Saccharomyces cerevisiae S288C: one gene and its partner. Changing the gene in region 1 together with any one later gene gives a genetic interaction. Each region holds a gene or a part of one and is shown in the gene's direction. Other genes may lie near its edges. The genes, in order: SRL3 and IRC3.

Region 1 (11,988 bases):
GCCATGGGGGAAGTACTAGGCTTGGAGAATAACAATAAAGCAAAAGATAAGAGCAACCAAAAGATTTGCGACGATACAGCTCTTTTCACGCCATCAAAAGATGACATTAAACATACTAAAGAGCAACTGCCTGTTTTCCGCTGCAGATCTCAATTGTTATCATTGATAAGAGAAAATCAAGTAGTGGTGATAATTGGTGAAACGGGCTCAGGTAAAACCACGCAACTTGCACAGTATTTATATGAAGAAGGATATGCCAACGATAGGGGGAAATCTATTGTTGTCACACAGCCGAGAAGAGTAGCAGCCATATCCGTTGCAAAAAGGGTTGCAATGGAAATGCAAGTTCCATTGGGTAAGGAAGTAGGCTATTCTATAAGGTTTGAAGATGTGACGGATTCTGAGTGTACAAAACTTAAGTTTGTAACGGATGGTATTCTACTCAGAGAGACCTTATTGGATGATACACTCGATAAATATTCGTGTGTTATTATTGATGAAGCTCATGAAAGGTCATTAAATACAGACATTTTACTAGGTTTTTTCAAGATTTTATTAGCACGTAGAAGAGATCTAAAACTCATAATCACTTCAGCAACAATGAATGCGAAGAAGTTCTCCGCATTTTTTGGTAATGCTCCTCAGTTCACAATTCCTGGAAGAACTTTCCCCGTACAGACCATATATACTTCCAACCCTGTTCAAGACTACGTAGAAGCTGCAGTTTCTCAGGCTGTGAAAATTCATTTAGCAAACGATTGTTCAAGCGGTGATATTCTCATTTTCATGACAGGTCAAGAAGATATTGAAACAACGTTCGACACTCTGCAAGAAAAGTTTTTGCAAGTATATTCTAAAAAGTTTGGTACCGCAAACTTTGAAGAGATCAATGATATTGAAATTTTACCAATCTACTCGGCTTTACCTGCAGATTTGCAATTCAAAATTTTTCAGGATCTACATGGCACTAAAAGGAAAATTATAATTGCGACAAATATTGCAGAGACTTCATTGACCATTAAAGGTATTAGATATGTCATTGATTGTGGTTACTCTAAACTGAAAGTTTACAATCCAAAGATTGGGCTTGATAGTTTAGTAATAACGCCCATATCAAAAGCTAACGCCGACCAAAGATCCGGAAGAGCGGGAAGAACTGCGCCAGGCACTGCATATCGATTATACACGGAAGATACATTCAAAGAAGATATGTACTTACAGACAATACCTGAGATCCAAAGAACGAATTTGTCAAACACCCTTTTACTGCTAAAATCTCTGGACGTTACTGACGAATTGAGTAAGTTCCCGTTCATTGATAAACCACCCTTACAAACATTTTTATCCTCATTGTATGAGTTATGGTTCATAGGGGCTATAGACACTAGTGGACAATTGACTCCATTGGGATTACAGATGGCAAAATTTCCCCTGCAACCTTCCCTTTCCAAAATTTTATTAATTGCAGTTAGAAACGGCTGCAGTGATGAAATGTTAACAATAGTTTCCATGCTTTCTGTTCCACAAGTCTTTTATAGACCCAAGGAAAGACAGAAAGAAGCAGATATTGCTAGAAATAAATTTTTTATCGCGAAATCAGATCACTTAACGTTACTTAATGTTTTTGAACAATGGAGGGCAAATAATTTTAGTTCGCATTGGTGTAACAAACATTTTGTTCAATACAAATCACTTGTCAGGGCAAGAGACATTCGAGACCAGTTGCTAACAATACTAAAATCTCAAAAAATTCCGGTCATTTCCTCCGGTAAGGACTGGGATATTATTAAAAAATGTATTTGTTCAGGATTTGCTCATCAAGCAGCCAAAATAACAGGACTACGAAATTACGTTCATTTAAAAACTGGCGTAAGTGTTCAACTACACCCTACAAGTGCATTACACGGATTGGGGGATTTACCCCCTTACGTGGTATATCATGAATTATTAATGACTAGCAAAGAATACATTTGTTGTGTTACTTCTGTAGATCCATTCTGGTTAATGGAATATGGTGGGTTACTCTACGACATCAAGCGTATTAAAAATGATCAGGAGGCCACAACTACAGGCCTCTTTGGTGAACACTATGAACATACTCTGGACAAGGTTGAAGATGATATTGATATCAATATTAGGAGATGTAAGGATATGAGAGACAGTGTGATACAGGAGCTCAAAATGACCGACAATTCAAACAAAGAAGACAAAAAGCAAAAAACGAAAAAGCAAAATATACTGAACGGCAAAGAAAATTCAATGAAACCTTTCAAAAGAAGGAAGCCTTTTTTTTAGTTTATGGGAAGAGCGTGCTAATAGGCAAAATATTCATATATGTTATTATATAGTTATATGCATGCATAAAACAAAGGGTTATTTATTGGGTACAAAAGAAAAGAGCATAACTCGTGGAGTGCTTACATTGAGAAAAAACTTTTATAATAGTTACCCATACTGCTACAATCAGATTGTTCATAAATTTCATTAGCTTTTGGCAACCATTTCGACATATTCTCTATTCTACGAGTGCTTGCTGGATGTGTACTTAGAAACTCCATATTCACAACACCCCCTCTATTCATTTGCTTTTCAAAATTTGCCATTCTTTCCCACACTTTTATTGACTCCTGTGGTTGAAAACATGCCCTTGACATTATCATCAGGCCAATGTAATCAGCTTCGGTTTCCATCTGTCTTGATGCTGGCATTCGCAAAAACCCATCCAATAGTATATTGTTGATAGCATGAGCTCCAGTAACAGTATATAACACCAAACCCAAAAGAGAATATATAGGAGCCTTCGACAAATTTTCGGCTGTGTGTCTTGCTAGCTGATGAGCAAATTCGTGTGCTAAAACAGTGGCAATCCCATCATCATTAGCACAAATAGGTAAAATAGAGCTGAATATAAAGACCTTACCCCCTGGTAAAACGAATGCATTTGGTGAAGCAGTTGGATCATTGACCACATGAATTTCCCACTTGATTCCGTCCAGTAGTGAGTTGTCTACACTAGGGTCCTTATAAGCAGCTTCGACAATTTTCATGAAAATATTCTCAATTTTGATGGACAGCGGATGCTGTGGAGGTAATATTTCCTGCTGCGTTTGTCTCCAAATTGATTTGTATGTGTAATTTCCGATAGTTAACTCTAATGGACGCGATACCCAGATGAACCTGGACCTATCGCTTACCGGTGCTTTATCCAAATGTGTATAATAAAAGAGAGAGCATCCACCAAATAATAAAGCTAAGTATTTTCTTGATGACTTATCGAGAAGAATGCTTTTAAACGATGATTTTTGGGAATACTCTCCATTATTAAATCGACGATATGAAGGACCATTGTCATAGCGGTAACATCGCGTTAACTGAACACGAAATGATACAGGTTTTAAAAATCCTCCACTGGTCCCTTTTCCAAATCCTTTGAACCTGATGATGTTGCGTAACATTTCTTGTATTTTATCTTTCCATACCTTAACTTAGATTGGTTGATGTCGCTTCGAAAAACTGCTTTTTGTCTTTTAAGTTCTTTATATCGGACGTAGAAAGAAGTAGAAATAGTAATTTGGGTTACCCATATAAAACCAACTTATCTAAACATATATAAACGTATACGGAGGATTAGACCTCAAAAGACAATTCAGGTAGTTGATCAGTGGACACTTGACGGTCGCGGTTTTGTAGTTCTAAATATCTCTTCTTAGTCTTGAAGTATAAGAGCCATGCTGTAAGACTTAGGATTAATAATGTGATAATAATGCTTACCAAGTCAAATACCCTAGATCCTGTAGATTCAGATTCTGCGAGACTCTTTACACGAGAACCTATAAATAGATAGATGAACAGCTTTGGTGTGGTTATTATGTTGGCAATGGAAAAGTTGCGTACCGAGATACCGTAAACACCAGCTATGGCACCATTAGTCAAAGAATATGGGAAGGGACATAATCTCAGTAGAGCTAGAATCCAATAGCTATTGTTTTCTTGTAAAATTGAAGCCAATGCTTCAAATCTTCTATTCAAATGCACAAGCTTTTCTGCTCTTGAATGCAAGATCGTCTTGAACACAACGAAAGAGGCAATGGAACCTGTTACAGATCCCAAAGCTAGCGTAACCCATCCCTCAAAACTGACACCATAGATCAACCCAGTAGTGGTGGATAATAAGGAGTAGCCAATCATAGGAGGAAATGCGACAAAGAATATCAGAACCATTAATATAAAATGTGTTGACATCTTTTCTCTCAAATCGTTCGAAGTAACAACAACTTTATGTAAAATCGCATTATGGAAGACGAGCAACAATATACCCATTATCATTAGCATTATGCCGAGGAGGACAATGATAATCTGTTGCCATAAGCGTAGTGAATAAAAATAAAACTGTAATTTTTGAACATTCTTCCTGATATTATGCATCAATCTCTCTCTAGGGGACATATTATAAATGTCTAAAAAATCATCATCATTAACATTTACTTCGTCATTGAATGACAATCCAGCATTAGTACCAACCCTTTGTCCATTATTACTATTTGGCATGATATCGTTGTCAAAGTCTTCGAAATAGCCATCAAATTCATCATCCTCCCCTTGGCCCATATTGGCATTTCCTGCTTCGTAAGACTGACTCATTTGTGTAACCAATATCTTTCTTCCACCATAATAATATTTTCAAATATGTTGAAGGTATTGTTTTAGTAAAGTGGCTTTTTTTCTTAGTGCAGCTCGAGAGAAAACAATGATTTCGATTTCCGCTTTGAAAATGATATGAATGAGAAAGGCCATTCGAATAAATACATAGATGAAAAAGAATATCTAGAGGATATATAAGCAAGCCCGTGTTTTCTTATTGAGTAAAACTGGTGGTGCTTTTGTGCTGCGTTGAAGAAGAAGGCCTCGATCGAAACGGTGAGCTCTTTGTAGCTTGAGAAGGGGGTCTTCCATCAATGCTATGACGCCTGAAATTGCCCGCTAAATCACTATGAATCATTGCGTCTGAATCGAAGTTACTTATCAGTCTCAATGTAGGATGGTCTTCTTTATCCGAATCTGTGTATAATATGTTGCTACTGCTGACCCATTTTTTGTTCATATGCCTCAAGTATCTACTCTTTCGGCCAAAATGCAATTTCTTGTCTACCATGGCAGGTGTTTCAATGCTGGCAGAATGTGGGATAAGTTCATGGCTTTCCGGGTCATAGGTCTTGGCATCCATAGGAAACATTAGCCGGCCCATACTTGTTTTTTTCTGCAGAATTGGCGGTGGGTGTCCATTGATTTTGCTGGATTGCCTCAACATCCTTGATGTGGGAGAAGCAACTGAAAATGAAAAGGATTTGGCTGGTCGCCTTGAAGTTGAAATAGTATCTGATTTCCTTCTTTGGTGACGCGGATTGAGAGAAGCGGACGTAATGGAATACCGCGGTCTAAACCCGGAAGGTGACCGCCCATATGTGCTTGCATTCTCACGTAACAATAGCAAAGAGTTTGTCGATTCTGATTCTAATAAGTTGTCATCTAAAACATTGGAAATATGATTGTCACCCTTGGTTGGAGTCCTAGTTAGCAATGTTGAATTTTCTGGGTTTTTGGACTCATCTGACGTTTGCTCTGGAGCTTTAATTAATCCAATGACTGAATCAGCAAATTGGAAGGGGGTTTTTAAAGAGGAGGTGACAATCATCCTACCTTTGATATAAGAAATCGCCTTATCCAGAGCAAATTCCTGGCCACAGTGATTTTGAATAATGGAAACCTTGGGCCACGTAGCTTTTGCACCATTGGTGATTTCCCTTAATAAAAATTCTTTTGTTGGGTTTGACAACAGCTCCTTTATTCTAAAAAGCATACACATGTCGGGCAAAATAGTGATGTCACCAGAATATTGTTGAGATAATACCGATCTCAGTTTTGTAAGCGCGTTTTTGGCAATTCCCATCTCACTTCCAATTTCTAGAATATGAATAGCTTCATTGGCCATAAAATTGTATATACTTGATAAGTTTTGCTTTAATCTTGCACTAAATTCGTCCTCAATTTCCCCGCCAACACAGGATAGTGATAGTTTCAAAAAGGGAAATACGTGAATATTCACCTGGCATGCGATAATATGGTCTACATTAAACATTTCAGAAAGACGAGAAATGGGCAAGTCATTGTCCACAGAACCATCGACAAATTTGACCGAACTACTACCAGTCCATGGTTTCCTTTCTCCCGTTTTTGGATCTTTTTCGTAAAGTGGGCTCGAGGGGAAAATTCCCGGTAGTGAACATGATGCACATACGGCGGACCAAATCAGGACGTTTGGTGCAGTCAAATTATTCAGCAAGCGCGGTTGTTCAAATAAAGATGCCGGCGAAACGGTTATATTCAAAATTTTACCCGTTCTATTGTAAGCTTCCCTAAATGTCAAATCTCCCAAAAATTCTATCATTGTATTTACCAGATGCTTGTTATCAAACCACGTACCGTTTTTGAAGAACCTAGATATTTTTATTAACAAATTCTCGCTTTCACTTTTCTGTTTATCGTCTTTGAAAATGTTGAATTCTTTATCCAAAATATGATTTAGTAAAACCGGAATTTCTTCTTTGTGATGGACAGATAATATGCTTGCTACAATTGCACCAGCACTGCTACCACTAATCACTCTGGGTAATAAATCCAATTCAAATAGAGTACCAAGGACACCGATGTGGAAAAGACCAAAAGTTCCACCCCCACTGAGAACTAAAGCGGTACGACCAATATTTCTTCTCGTTTGTTGCAGTATACCCAAAAGGTAACTATCATCAAGATCAGACTCCATTAAAGATTCTAGCGCTAACCTAGACTCCATCATATACTCGTCAATTAAATATTTGGTGCCTACATGGGAGTGCCTATATAGGTTTACATTCCCCATATTTCCCAGGTTTCGTACCCAATTCGTCCTAATGATGTACAACAATTGAGCGTAATTCCTATTCAAGCGCTCCTCACGCATTCTAGATGTTAAATCTTTTATTAGCTTGTAATCATACAAGGGACTTTCCAATTTCTGCTTCCATTCTGTTTTCCCAGTGAGGTCATCCAATCTGGCGCCCGCAGAACACCATTCTTCAAATGACATCGCATGTTGCTTTTGTGAACAGACTTTGTCAATAAGAATGTCTCTTTCATAGTTTCCCACAAAAACGTTGTAAAGAAATGATTTGCATTTACTGGCTAAAGATGACCCTTGCCTTTCATCTTCGCCTTCGTCTGTCTCAACCATCTCGATATCATTATTTTCATTTTCTGTTACTGTCTCTTGGTCATCGTCAAGTTTATCCTCGTTTCCAGTATCCAGGTTGAAATTTACTTTGTTCGTAGTTTTGTTCTTGCCAGTTTGCAGTCTTTTACCAGCATCCTCCTCCACCCTTTCAACATCTGAATTATCCTTACTGGGCCTAATAAACTTGTTCTTCGGATTTAAAATAGGAATTATGTTCTGGGAAGTGCCCAGGATCTGTTCGTAATATTTTTCGATTAGTTGTTGCGTAACAAGGAGGGGCTTATTTTGTGTAGATGTAAGATCTGATATTTTGCTGCTCATTCAGACTTTTATTACATATACCTGTACTCCCTTCAATAATTATTACAGCGCTAATTTTTTTGATCAAATACTTGAATACAGGCCTCTTTTACGAGTACAATAATGACATAATGACAATTTGAATCAACCATACTTTATAATTGTGGTTTAGCGTTTCATAGTCGCAATTATCGTATAAGAGGGGTAATATGTCAGCCCTAGTTTACCCTACTTTTTTTAAACCCCTTAAGATCTTTTTTCCTTTTTTCTAATATTTAACCTACTAATATTGGTAAGTAAACCTAATGACTTTTTGAAGCGCCTAGCCCTATTTCTTTCGAAATTTTCAATTCGCGTCCTTTTTCAATTCCATGAATAATAGGAAACATGAAAAAATAAGTAAATAATAATAATAGAAAAGCTGGAGTGTTGCAAATTTAAGAGGTAGCCTTAAAATATATTTCTGCTGTGTTGAATATTTAATTTATACAGCTAGAATAGGATATTATAGCCGAATTTTTTTCAAGCTTCTTCAAAGCTTATAGTGAATAACGTAAGGGGAAAAACAAGAATAAATTTAGCAAAAGAAACGCTCAAGTCAATGTATAACTCAATCTACGGGTCCCCCTTCCCTAAAATAAATCCGAAGGTCCGCTACAAAACTGCTCTAGAAAGAGCAGGGTTTGACACTAAGCCGCGTAATCCGTTCAGTAGTCAGAGGAATGCTTCCACTGGAAGTTTACAAGCTTCCGTGAAGTCGCCGCCAATAACCCGTCAAAGAAATGTATCTGCCGCCCCATCTGTTCCGGTCACGATGAAGAGTGCGTATACGGCGTCTTCAAAGAGTGCTTATTCATCTGTAAAGGGCGAGTCTGACATTTATCCGCCTCCCGTATTGGAGAATAGCGAGAGGCGGAGTGTAACTCCTCCAAAGAATAGCAATTTTACGTCTTCGAGACCCAGTGACATATCTCGTTCTATTTCCAGGCCCAGCGAGCGTGCTTCGCAAGAGGATCCCTTCCGTTTTGAACGCGACTTAGACCGTCAGGCGGAACAATATGCTGCCTCTAGGCATACATGTAAATCACCTGCTAACAAGGAATTCCAAGCCGCAGATAACTTCCCCTTCAACTTCGAACAAGAAGATGCTGGTAATACTGAAAGGGAACAAGATTTGAGCCCTATTGAAAGAAGTTTCATGATGCTGACTCAAAATGACACTGCAAGCGTTGTAAATTCTATGAACCAAACCGATAACAGAGGTGTGCTCGACCAAAAACTCGGAAAAGAACAGCAAAAAGAGGAAAGTTCAATCGAATATGAAAGTGAAGGACAGCAGGAGGATGAGAATGATATTGAAAGCCTAAATTTTGAACCAGATCCTAAACTACAGATGAATCTTGAAAATGAACCACTTCAAGATGATTTTCCAGAAGCAAAACAAGAGGAAAAGAATACAGAACCTAAAATTCCGGAAATTAATGTTACGAGGGAAAGTAATACACCATCTTTAACCATGAACGCACTAGACTCTAAAATATATCCTGATGATAACTTTTCTGGCCTGGAATCTTCAAAGGAACAGAAATCACCTGGTGTGTCATCATCGTCAACAAAAGTTGAAGATTTAAGTCTTGATGGGTTAAATGAGAAACGTCTTTCAATAACTTCTTCAGAAAACGTGGAAACACCATACACTGCTACGAACCTCCAAGTCGAACAATTGATTGCTCAATTAGACGATGTTTCCCTATCTAGAAATGCAAAGCTCGATATGAACGGCAATTGCCTCAACGCAGTGGACAGAAAGGCTTCTAGATTCAAAAAGTCAAGCGCATATTTATCTGGGTATCCCAGCATGGATATACCCGTAACGCAGCAAACATCAATTGTGCAAAACAGCAATACGAACTTATCCAGACAAACTATTCTGGTAGATAAAGGCGATGTCGATGAAGACGCGCCATCTGAATCTACAACTAATGGTGGCACACCCATTTTTTACAAGTTTAAACAGTCGAACGTAGAATACTCCAATAATGAAGGGATGGGTTCGCAAGAAACTTTCAGAACGAAACTTCCCACAATTGAAGCACTACAACTGCAGCATAAGCGCAACATAACAGATCTGAGAGAAGAAATTGATAATTCCAAATCTAATGACTCTCATGTATTACCTAACGGCGGCACTACGAGATACAGCTCTGATGCAGATTATAAAGAAACGGAGCCCATTGAGTTTAAATATCCGCCTGGGGAGGGACCTTGCAGAGCATGCGGCTTGGAAGTCACAGGGAAAAGAATGTTTTCCAAAAAGGAAAACGAACTGTCGGGTCAATGGCATCGTGAATGTTTTAAATGCATTGAATGTGGTATCAAATTCAATAAACATGTTCCCTGTTATATTCTAGGCGATGAACCATATTGTCAAAAGCACTATCACGAGGAGAATCACAGTATTTGTAAGGTTTGTTCAAATTTCATAGAGGGTGAATGTCTGGAAAATGATAAGGTGGAACGATTCCACGTGGATTGTCTAAACTGTTTCTTATGCAAGACTGCCATTACTAATGATTATTATATATTCAATGGGGAAATTCCATTGTGCGGTAATCACGACATGGAAGCTCTCTTGAAGGAAGGTATCGACAATGCTACATCAAGCAATGATAAGAACAATACTCTCTCTAAAAGGAGAACGAGGCTCATCAACTTCAACTAGCATCACTACCCATTTGTCTTTCCTAGCACACATGTTTCATAACATTCTTAATAAGATTTTGATTTTTTATATTATTAGCCAGCCTTGTTCATTTATAAATTGTATAGCGCAGGAAAAAGGCATCTGCCTATCTATGGTATCAACAACATTAGTCGTCATTAGTTAGTTAGTTATAAAGACATCATTCACTCATATTCACTACGTTGTCTTCTTCTCAACAACTACCTCTAACTGTTTTTTTACGCGTCATTTAATTGTAGCGAATTTCTATTTTTGGACATTCTCGTACCGGTGCATTAAAGGCTAAAAGCTAAAAAGGGAACAGGAGCCTAAGAATAGAGAATAAGGAAATTTATTTAAGGAAAGGCTAAGCAATGAAATGTTTCGTTATTTTATTGTATTTTCAAGAGGATGGAAGAAGAACCTGAGCACAAACGGATAAATAATAGACGAATATAATGTTTCTTAAGACACCTAATTGGGAAACGGTAAATGAGACTCCCAAATCGAGAGTCTTAACGATAAACGAATTGATCTCTCCCAACCTGGATACTGAATCTAACAGCCTTCTGGCGACGCCGGCAAGGAAATATTTCAAAACTTCAATAAGTGAAGCGCAAGATTCTCCTACATCTGCCCCTTCGCCCGATGGCAATGAGGATCCCACATATCAATACAACGTACAATTTCATTTTCCAGGACCAATAACACCTACAACACCCAGGTCTAAGAATGCAGAAATGTTTCCATCCCCCACGCCCCCATTGGTTTCTCCCACAGCGGTTATCGAGGAAGAGAATGACGATTCCGTACGGGAGTTTTCACGCACGCTAAAATCAAGACTCAACTGCGCAATGGTTAAGCTATCAAAGGAACATGAGCAAGTAGCTTTGATTCCTCCACCTCCGACGGAAAAGATACGAAAGGGCTCTTATAGTAATAAATTTGCCGCTAAGCATAGGCGCTGTCACTCGTTAGATGAATCCAAAAAGTTTCTGAGTTCTCTGGAAGATTCATCCGCTCATGCAGCGTTCTTGAAGGCAATTTCGTCCAAACATGCCAAAAGCAATAGGGTAGACAACGTTAACGTTTCGCCGTTACGTTGGTCATCTCATAGAAGAACGCAAAGTACACAGGAGAATTCTTTACAAGAAGTTGTTGCTATCGATACATTATTGAAGATGTCCTCATCGGACTGAACTAATGATTCGGGTTTCGCATATATACATGGCTTTGGCTACTTTTAGGTTTATAGTTCTTGCTGTTTATATCACTAATATTTAGTATATAGCTGCGAAGAAAGAAAAAGAAAATATTCACCTCTAGGAGCCAAAAACATAAAAAAAAAAATAATTAAAAAAAACTTTTATTGAATGCTTAATTATTTAGTGACGCGATTACCTATATACCAGGTTATTTATTTTTTCTTTTTTCAAAGGAAAACAATACAAAATATTACTGTTACCATTTTTGTTACTATTATTATTGTCTTTATTACTATTATTTTTCTATCGTTGCTATAATTACAATTTGTTTACTCTACAACTTAAAAGGAGATTACTCCAGACAACGAGTTTTGTTTTATGTTTCCTATTCTTTTAATCTTGGAATTTGTATGAACCACTTTCTAATGTAATGGATCCACCTCTGTAAGAACCTCTCTTCATTTTATTTTTGTTCTTCGTGAAATCTTTACCTC
Region 2 (7,258 bases), on another chromosome or scaffold:
GGGAACTTGAACACAGCCATATCATTGTTTTTCGAAAATGGTGGGGCTGCTTTACTGAGCAGTAACAACACACCTACTCCGTCTAATTCGACTCCTATGGCGCCCACCTCTGTAGATTCAGATGCCGATGCACAATTAGCGGAGAGGTTGCAAAGGGAAGCTTACCAACAACAACAGCCTGACCAAGATTATGTCAGGCCACCTGATGAGGCAAGACATGAAGTACTTACTGAAACTTCAGGATTCCCAATTTCTTACGGCGGCATTGGCGGAAGATTTGAACCATTGCATAGGGTGAACGACATGTTTGACGAAGGAAGACCTGAAAGCATTTTTAATCAACGATTGGATGACACAAATACTAATACATACATCAATGACAACTCTTCAGATTCCTTGGACTCCGAGGAAGAAAATGACGACGACGAATATGAGTATGTGGAAGAGCCGGTCATCGAACTTGATGAAGACGGCAATATCAAGGAGTACACCAAATTAGTGAGAAAGCCTAAAACCATTTCCAAGGAGCAGAAATTAGCTTTGTTATTTAGGCCTCCATTTTCAATCATGTCCAAACTCGACTTAGACGCTGCAAAGCAAAAGGCAAGGGCAAAGCAAAAATGGATAATGATTAACATTCAGGATTCAGGAATCTTCCAATGCCAAGCCCTCAACAGGGATTTGTGGTCGTCCAGACCGGTAAAAACTATAATCAAAGAGAACTTCGTTTTCCTACAGTATCAATATGAATCACGTAATGCCCAACCCTATCTTCAGTTCTATCACTTGAATAATAAGGATGATTTGCCCCATATCGCGATACTGGATCCAATTACCGGTGAACGTGTCAAGCAATGGAATAGGGTTGTTCCCATTCCAGAGCAATTCATCTCAGAAATCAACGAGTTTTTGGCCTCATTTTCGCTAGATCCAAAGGTCCCTAATCCCACGGTTAATGAACCTCTTCCTAAAGTGGATCCAACAACTTTGACCGAAGAGCAACAAATGGAATTAGCCATTAAAGAGTCATTAAATAATAACTCGAGCAAATCAAACCAAGAAGAAGTGCCGAGTACTGGCGAAGAACAGAAACGAGTACAAGAACCGGATCCATTCAGTACCATTGAAGCCAGGGTGCATCCAGAACCGCCAAATAAACCAGGGATCACTACAAGAATTCAAATTCGTACCGGTGATGGCTCCAGACTAGTTCGTAGATTCAATGCTCTGGAAGACACTGTGCGTACTATTTACGAGGTTATCAAGACAGAAATGGATGGTTTTGCCGATTCAAGATTCACACTAAATGATCACCAAAGAGAGGACTTGATTGATAAATTAAACATGACCATAGCGGACGCCGGCTTAAAAAATAGTTCTTTACTACTTGAGAAGCTTGACCCTGAAATAGAATAAACAAATTGTATGGTGGCAGGTACCTAGATGTAATTAGGTATGTAAGCACTTATAACACGACGGAAATACCCGGATATTGTATTTTTATTTTTTTCCCATTAGCACGCCAAACATAAGAAAAAACGCATACAAAGACGTAAAGGAATAGTTCATAGGTGTAAATACAAAATATATATCACATTTAAGCATAGCAAATTGCAAAAGCCGAACAAAATGCGTATAGCGATGCATCTGCCGCTGTTGCTTTTATACATATTCTTACTACCCCTTTCAGGTGCAAATAACACAGATGCTGCACACGAAGTTATAGCAACGAACACAAATAATTGGGCCGTATTAGTATCCACGTCGCGGTTCTGGTTCAATTACAGGCACATGGCTAATGTCCTTAGTATGTATAGGACTGTAAAGAGGTTAGGTATACCGGATTCACAAATAATATTGATGCTGAGTGATGATGTGGCCTGCAATTCAAGGAATCTATTTCCTGGAAGTGTTTTTAACAATAAGGATCACGCTATTGACCTTTACGGAGACTCTGTAGAGGTTGACTACAGAGGTTACGAAGTTACCGTGGAAAACTTTATAAGGCTGTTAACGGATAGATGGACAGAAGACCATCCTAAATCTAAACGGTTGTTGACGGATGAAAATTCAAATATATTCATCTATATGACAGGACATGGTGGCGATGATTTTTTAAAGTTCCAAGATGCTGAAGAGATTGCTTCTGAAGATATTGCAGATGCATTCCAGCAAATGTACGAAAAGAAAAGATACAATGAAATCTTCTTTATGATAGATACATGTCAGGCAAACACAATGTATTCCAAGTTTTATTCTCCAAATATTCTGGCTGTAGGCTCTAGTGAAATGGATGAAAGCTCGTACTCGCATCACTCGGACGTAGAAATAGGGGTTGCTGTTATTGATAGATTCACCTATTACTGTTTGGATTTCCTAGAACAAATCGATAAAAATTCCACGTTAACTTTGCAGGACCTCTTCGATTCATTCACCTTCGAAAAGATTCACTCTCATGTGGGTGTCAGGACTGATCTGTTTGATAGGAATCCGTCAGAAGTATTGATTACTGATTTTTTTGCGAATGTGCAAAACGTAATTCCTGATGATTCAAAACCTCTTTCCGTAAGTCATTATCATCATTACAAAGATCATATCGATACTGCTCAGTATGAGCTTAACAATAATGTGCTGGATTTGGCCTTGGAGACTTACCGCAAAAACAATCAATCCTCCAAGATTGAAAAAAAAATCAAAGACATCAAGTCTACTAGTGTATTGGATGTTGATATAGATTCCAACGAATGTTTCTTCACCTCCTTCAAACAATCAGCTACCATAATACTGGCGCTTATAGTAACTATTCTGTGGTTCATGCTGAGAGGAAACACTGCTAAAGCAACCTATGACCTGTACACTAATTAAAACACTTTTATCCATTTTTTTTCGTATAAGCATATTTTACATCTTTATATATATTTATTTTTTTTTTTTTTATTTTGGTAGAATAGATTACATATACAACTTTTTCATAATGTCAAACTATAGAGTTTTATTTCACATAACGGAAGAAGCCTATTGGAGCCATGAGTATAATAAAATATGACCTCAACACTAGCCACTAGACTCTCGACATATTCTATTTCATTAATACTGCAGCGCATCAAAATTATAAAACGTTGTTACTCAGCTCCCGTACTCAGAGATTACCAACAAGATGCTATAGATGCATGTGTGAATTCTATTCGACAGGGCACCAAGAGAATTGGTGTATCATTAGCCACTGGTGGTGGTAAGACAGTGATATTCTCAAATCTTATCAATCAATTGCGCCAAAACTATTTTAAAGAACGTCAAGGAAATTTTAAATCGTTGATCCTGGTTCACAGGAGGGAGCTGGCCTTACAAGCGACGGCCACTCTTAAAAAAATATTCCCCGACTTAAAGGTTCACATAGAAATGGGAAAATATGATTGCGATATTGAAGATTCTGACGTGATTGTTGCATCTGTTCAGACGTTGATTAGAAGACTCCATAAATATGATACTAATTCAGTGAATCTCATCATCATTGATGAAGCACATCATTCTGTGGCTAATTCTTATAGAAGTATCTTAGATCATTTCAAAGCTTCAACTGCAGAAACCAAAATCCCTGTTATTGGCTTTAGTGCGACTTTCGAAAGAGCAGATAAAAGAGCTTTGTCAATGGTAATGGATAAAATTGTGTACCACCGGGGAATACTGGAAATGATCGATGACAAGTGGCTATGTGAGGCAAAATTCACGTCAGTCAAAATTGAAGCAGACTTATCAGATGTAAAAAGCACTGCAGATGACTTCCAGCTGGCACCGTTATCGTCTCTAATGAATACGAAAGAAATTAATGAAGTAATTCTGAAAACTTACCTTCATAAAAAGCAAGAGAAATCACTAAAATCAACATTACTGTTTGGCGTTGATAAAGCCCATGTACAAAGTTTGCATAAATTATTTAAAGACAACGGTATTAATACGGACTATGTCACCTCGGATACAAAACAGATAGAACGAGATAATATAATTCAAAAATTCAAAAATGGGGAAACTGAAGTACTCATGAACTGTGGAATATTCACAGAAGGAACGGACATGCCAAATATTGATTGTATACTACTGTGTAGGCCCACAAAATCGCGTTCACTTTTGATTCAAATGATTGGAAGAGGTTTACGGTTACACCATTCGAAAGACCACTGTCATATCATCGACTTCATTGGAGCTTCTAGTGTTGGAGTGGTTTCAGCGCCCACTCTACTGGGTATAAGGAGTGATGATATCGAATTTGATGATGCTACAGTTGAAGATTTAAAAGCAATCCAAGGAGAGATAATAGCTAAACAACAAAAAATCGACGAAAGGTTAAGGGCTTTATTTCAGACTGATGAAGCAGCAATGGAAAATGTAACTGAAAGAAATAGCGTTGCCGATTGGATTCACAGTGCAAATTCGGTTGATTTAACCTTGTGCTCCTTTGATAGTTTTAGGAATTTTACACAGAGCAATAACTCATATCCATCTGGCAAGGAGTTTGATGAAGCTTCTGAAGCTGTAAAAGAAATGGAGCTGTTGATGAACTCACAATATCCGTGGGTGAAATTTGCCTCAAATGCGTGGGGCCTCCCTTTAAAAGGTAAGAATCATTTGAGAATATACAAAGAAAAATCCGAAGACAAATTGTCGATGGTATATCATCTAAAAATGTATCGACAATTACCGTGTTTTATAACAAATAAATACGCGGACTATGTTCCAAAAAGTATAATAAAAGACGCTAATCTTTGGAATGTAATGTCAAAGGTGGAAAAAATCATAAATACTCTAAATTCGGACTTGGAAGGACAAACAATGCAATACCAGGCAATATCTAGTAAATACTCGAAATGGAGACAAACAGTTCCTACGTCAAAACAAAGAGACTTTGTTTTCAGAAAGCTAAAGAAAGTATATGGTGAGTCCTCAAAAGATTTTATTAGATTATCTTTGGATGATGTTACTACTTATGTAAATACTAAGATGACGAAAGGAGATGCTTCCAACTTAATCTTTGCCAGCAGTTTGGCACCTGTCTACCCGTTGAAATCATTGTTACGAATATTAGAATATCAAAAAAGAAGATCTTTTATAAAGTGAAATCCGTAGCTACATAAATGTGCATATATTAATATACAGTCACTAGTACATATGTAAACGTCGGACCACTCGTATATGCATTTTCTTTTGGATCACACCCTTTCTGAACTATGCAATGAATAACGTTAAATTCAAATAAGTGCTTTAGCCTTACTCTGCGTACTAGAAAATGAGCTGCAACATTTCTTATTAACCCTCATTTTCATTTGACTCTTCATTTTCATGAATGTACTGTTGCAAAGATATTTGTCTAATTTGATTCAACAGGTCCTCATCTTGCATTCTTTCTGCCTGAAGGACAGCTAAATCCTTTTCATTAATAAAGGTTTTGATGTTTTCAACCACTTCGATTGATTCTTTTGACGTAGGCATTGGTGGTAATACGTCAAACTCATATACTTCATTATCAGACCAGATAAATGATGGAATTGCAGCCATTACAGAAGACTCCTCAGATAGTATGGCGAATCTTAATAAGTTAATTGGGATTCCCGCAATAAAGAAAGGTGATTGCAAGTTGTTAATGTTATTGTGATCTTGCCCATCATTTGAATCGATTGTAACGTTTCCTCTATGGTAATCCTGTAAAATACTCGACATTTCATCATGCAAAAATGTTACCTCTTCGTTTCTATTCCAAAGTAACGGGAAGCGGGCCATATATGCCTTTAATTCCAAGTTTTCTGCCGAATGGCCATCAATGGATAAATCTTTAGTTAGCGCATGATCGCCCAAGAGTTTCTCCTTGAAAAGTTCTGACAGTTGTAAAGGATGATGCTTAAAGGCTTTTAGAAGCGCATTGCGGGCGGAACTCATCTCATTTATTCTTAGGAAGCTTAGTACTACCGCCAAGGAAAATCCTAAAGTATTCCACTGTTTATAACAGTTCATTAATGGAGAGTTGGATAATTCTATAATGTACTGATAGTCATTATTCAATAGAAAATAGTGATCGAGGAAATACCTGCATCCTAAAGGATCTTCCAATGGGCTCAGTGACCAGAGAACTTTTGTCCATTCACTAGCAGTTCCTATAACACCTCTTTGAGCAAGAGATTGGATGTATCTAAATATTGCCAAGTAAAACTGTCTGTTGAAGAAGTATATATAAGGTAGTTGACAATTCAAGGAATCGAAAATAATATTTGCTTTCAAAGCTCTATCAAAGACAAAGAGTGCTCTTTGTAACAATCCATTAGTGTTTGATCTATCACCTTGCCTAATAAATATCAAAGCAACTTGTAGCAGTCCAGGCACATGATACGGAAATTTAGAAGAAATCAAATTTATAAGGGCTTCATGATCAGGGTGAACAATAACACTTAAGTAGAAGTCCATCATTGATTTCTTGCTCAGGTCGGAATTTAAAGGTTCGAACTTATAAAAAGAAATGAATTTTTGCCACTGACTGACATCGTTTTGGATAACATCCTTCCAATCTAACGGCCTTTCCCATAATTGCCAATCTAAAAGATCATCAGAACTTAAAAGTTTCATAGAGAGCTCACCTCTTTGAGTTGGGATCCAATCATCTCTGATCTTGGTAAACTTCAAATGTTGCGGGTGCATTCCGGGGCCATTAGGTGCCAATCTATGATCTTTTCCGCCCCAGTTTCTAATTAATCTTTTCAGTCTCTGAATCTGTTTCAGCTGCTGAGGGGAGACAGGTGTGGATGTCATCGAATCAATATCTTCAAGAGACTCTGGAGATATATCGTCAAATAAAAGTTTGAATTCCGTATGGGGGTCCAATTTCTTGAAATCATTTTGAAAAAATTTGCAAGAATGCCTCAAACATGAAATGGGGAACTTTGTGAAGCCCGGATCACTTTCTAAGCTTAAAAATGACTTCCAAGGTTGGCTAGATGCTTCCTCTGGTTCAGATGCCGTGAAGAAACCTTCCTCATTAGTGTCATCATTTTTAGTCTTACCGTACTTCAATATATCAGTTTTTTTGAACTGTTGGATAATCTTGTCGAATTCTTCATCATCATCATCATCATCGGAACCCTTGTCTTTTGCAGCCTCGGCGGTATGGTTTTTTTGCTTCCTTTTTGCCTTTTTATTCTTTTTCCTTCTAGAAGACTTGGATGCTAGTGTAATTCTTTTAGGTTGACCATTACTTTGAGTATCACGCTCCCCAGCA

The links.
Region 2: mutations in SRL3 (region 1) and IRC3 together harm fitness more than expected from each alone (negative genetic interaction), as found in Saccharomyces cerevisiae (2 studies listed by BioGRID).

What each region holds. Positions count from the first base shown.
Region 1 is NC_001143.9:600,778-612,765, forward strand, and holds SRL3 (DNA-binding protein SRL3), read left to right. Parts: upstream 1-10,747; coding exon 10,748-11,488; downstream 11,489-11,988. Other genes in the region: DEAH-box RNA helicase PRP16, read left to right, coding at 1-2,295; OMA1 (metalloendopeptidase), read right to left, coding at 2,418-3,455; TVP38 (Tvp38p), read right to left, coding at 3,628-4,641; TGL4 (triacylglycerol lipase), read right to left, coding at 4,856-7,588; PXL1 (Pxl1p), read left to right, coding at 8,169-10,289; SRP40 (Srp40p), read right to left, coding at 11,888-11,988. UniProt on the Saccharomyces cerevisiae protein: Weakly suppresses a RAD53 null mutation when overexpressed.
Region 2 is NC_001136.10:1,127,959-1,135,216, forward strand, and holds IRC3 (double-stranded DNA-dependent ATPase), read left to right. Parts: upstream 1-3,042; coding exon 3,043-5,112; downstream 5,113-7,258. Other genes in the region: DNA protein crosslink repair co-factor UBX5, read left to right, coding at 1-1,416; GPI8 (GPI-anchor transamidase), read left to right, coding at 1,630-2,865; RQC1 (Rqc1p), read right to left, coding at 5,302-7,258.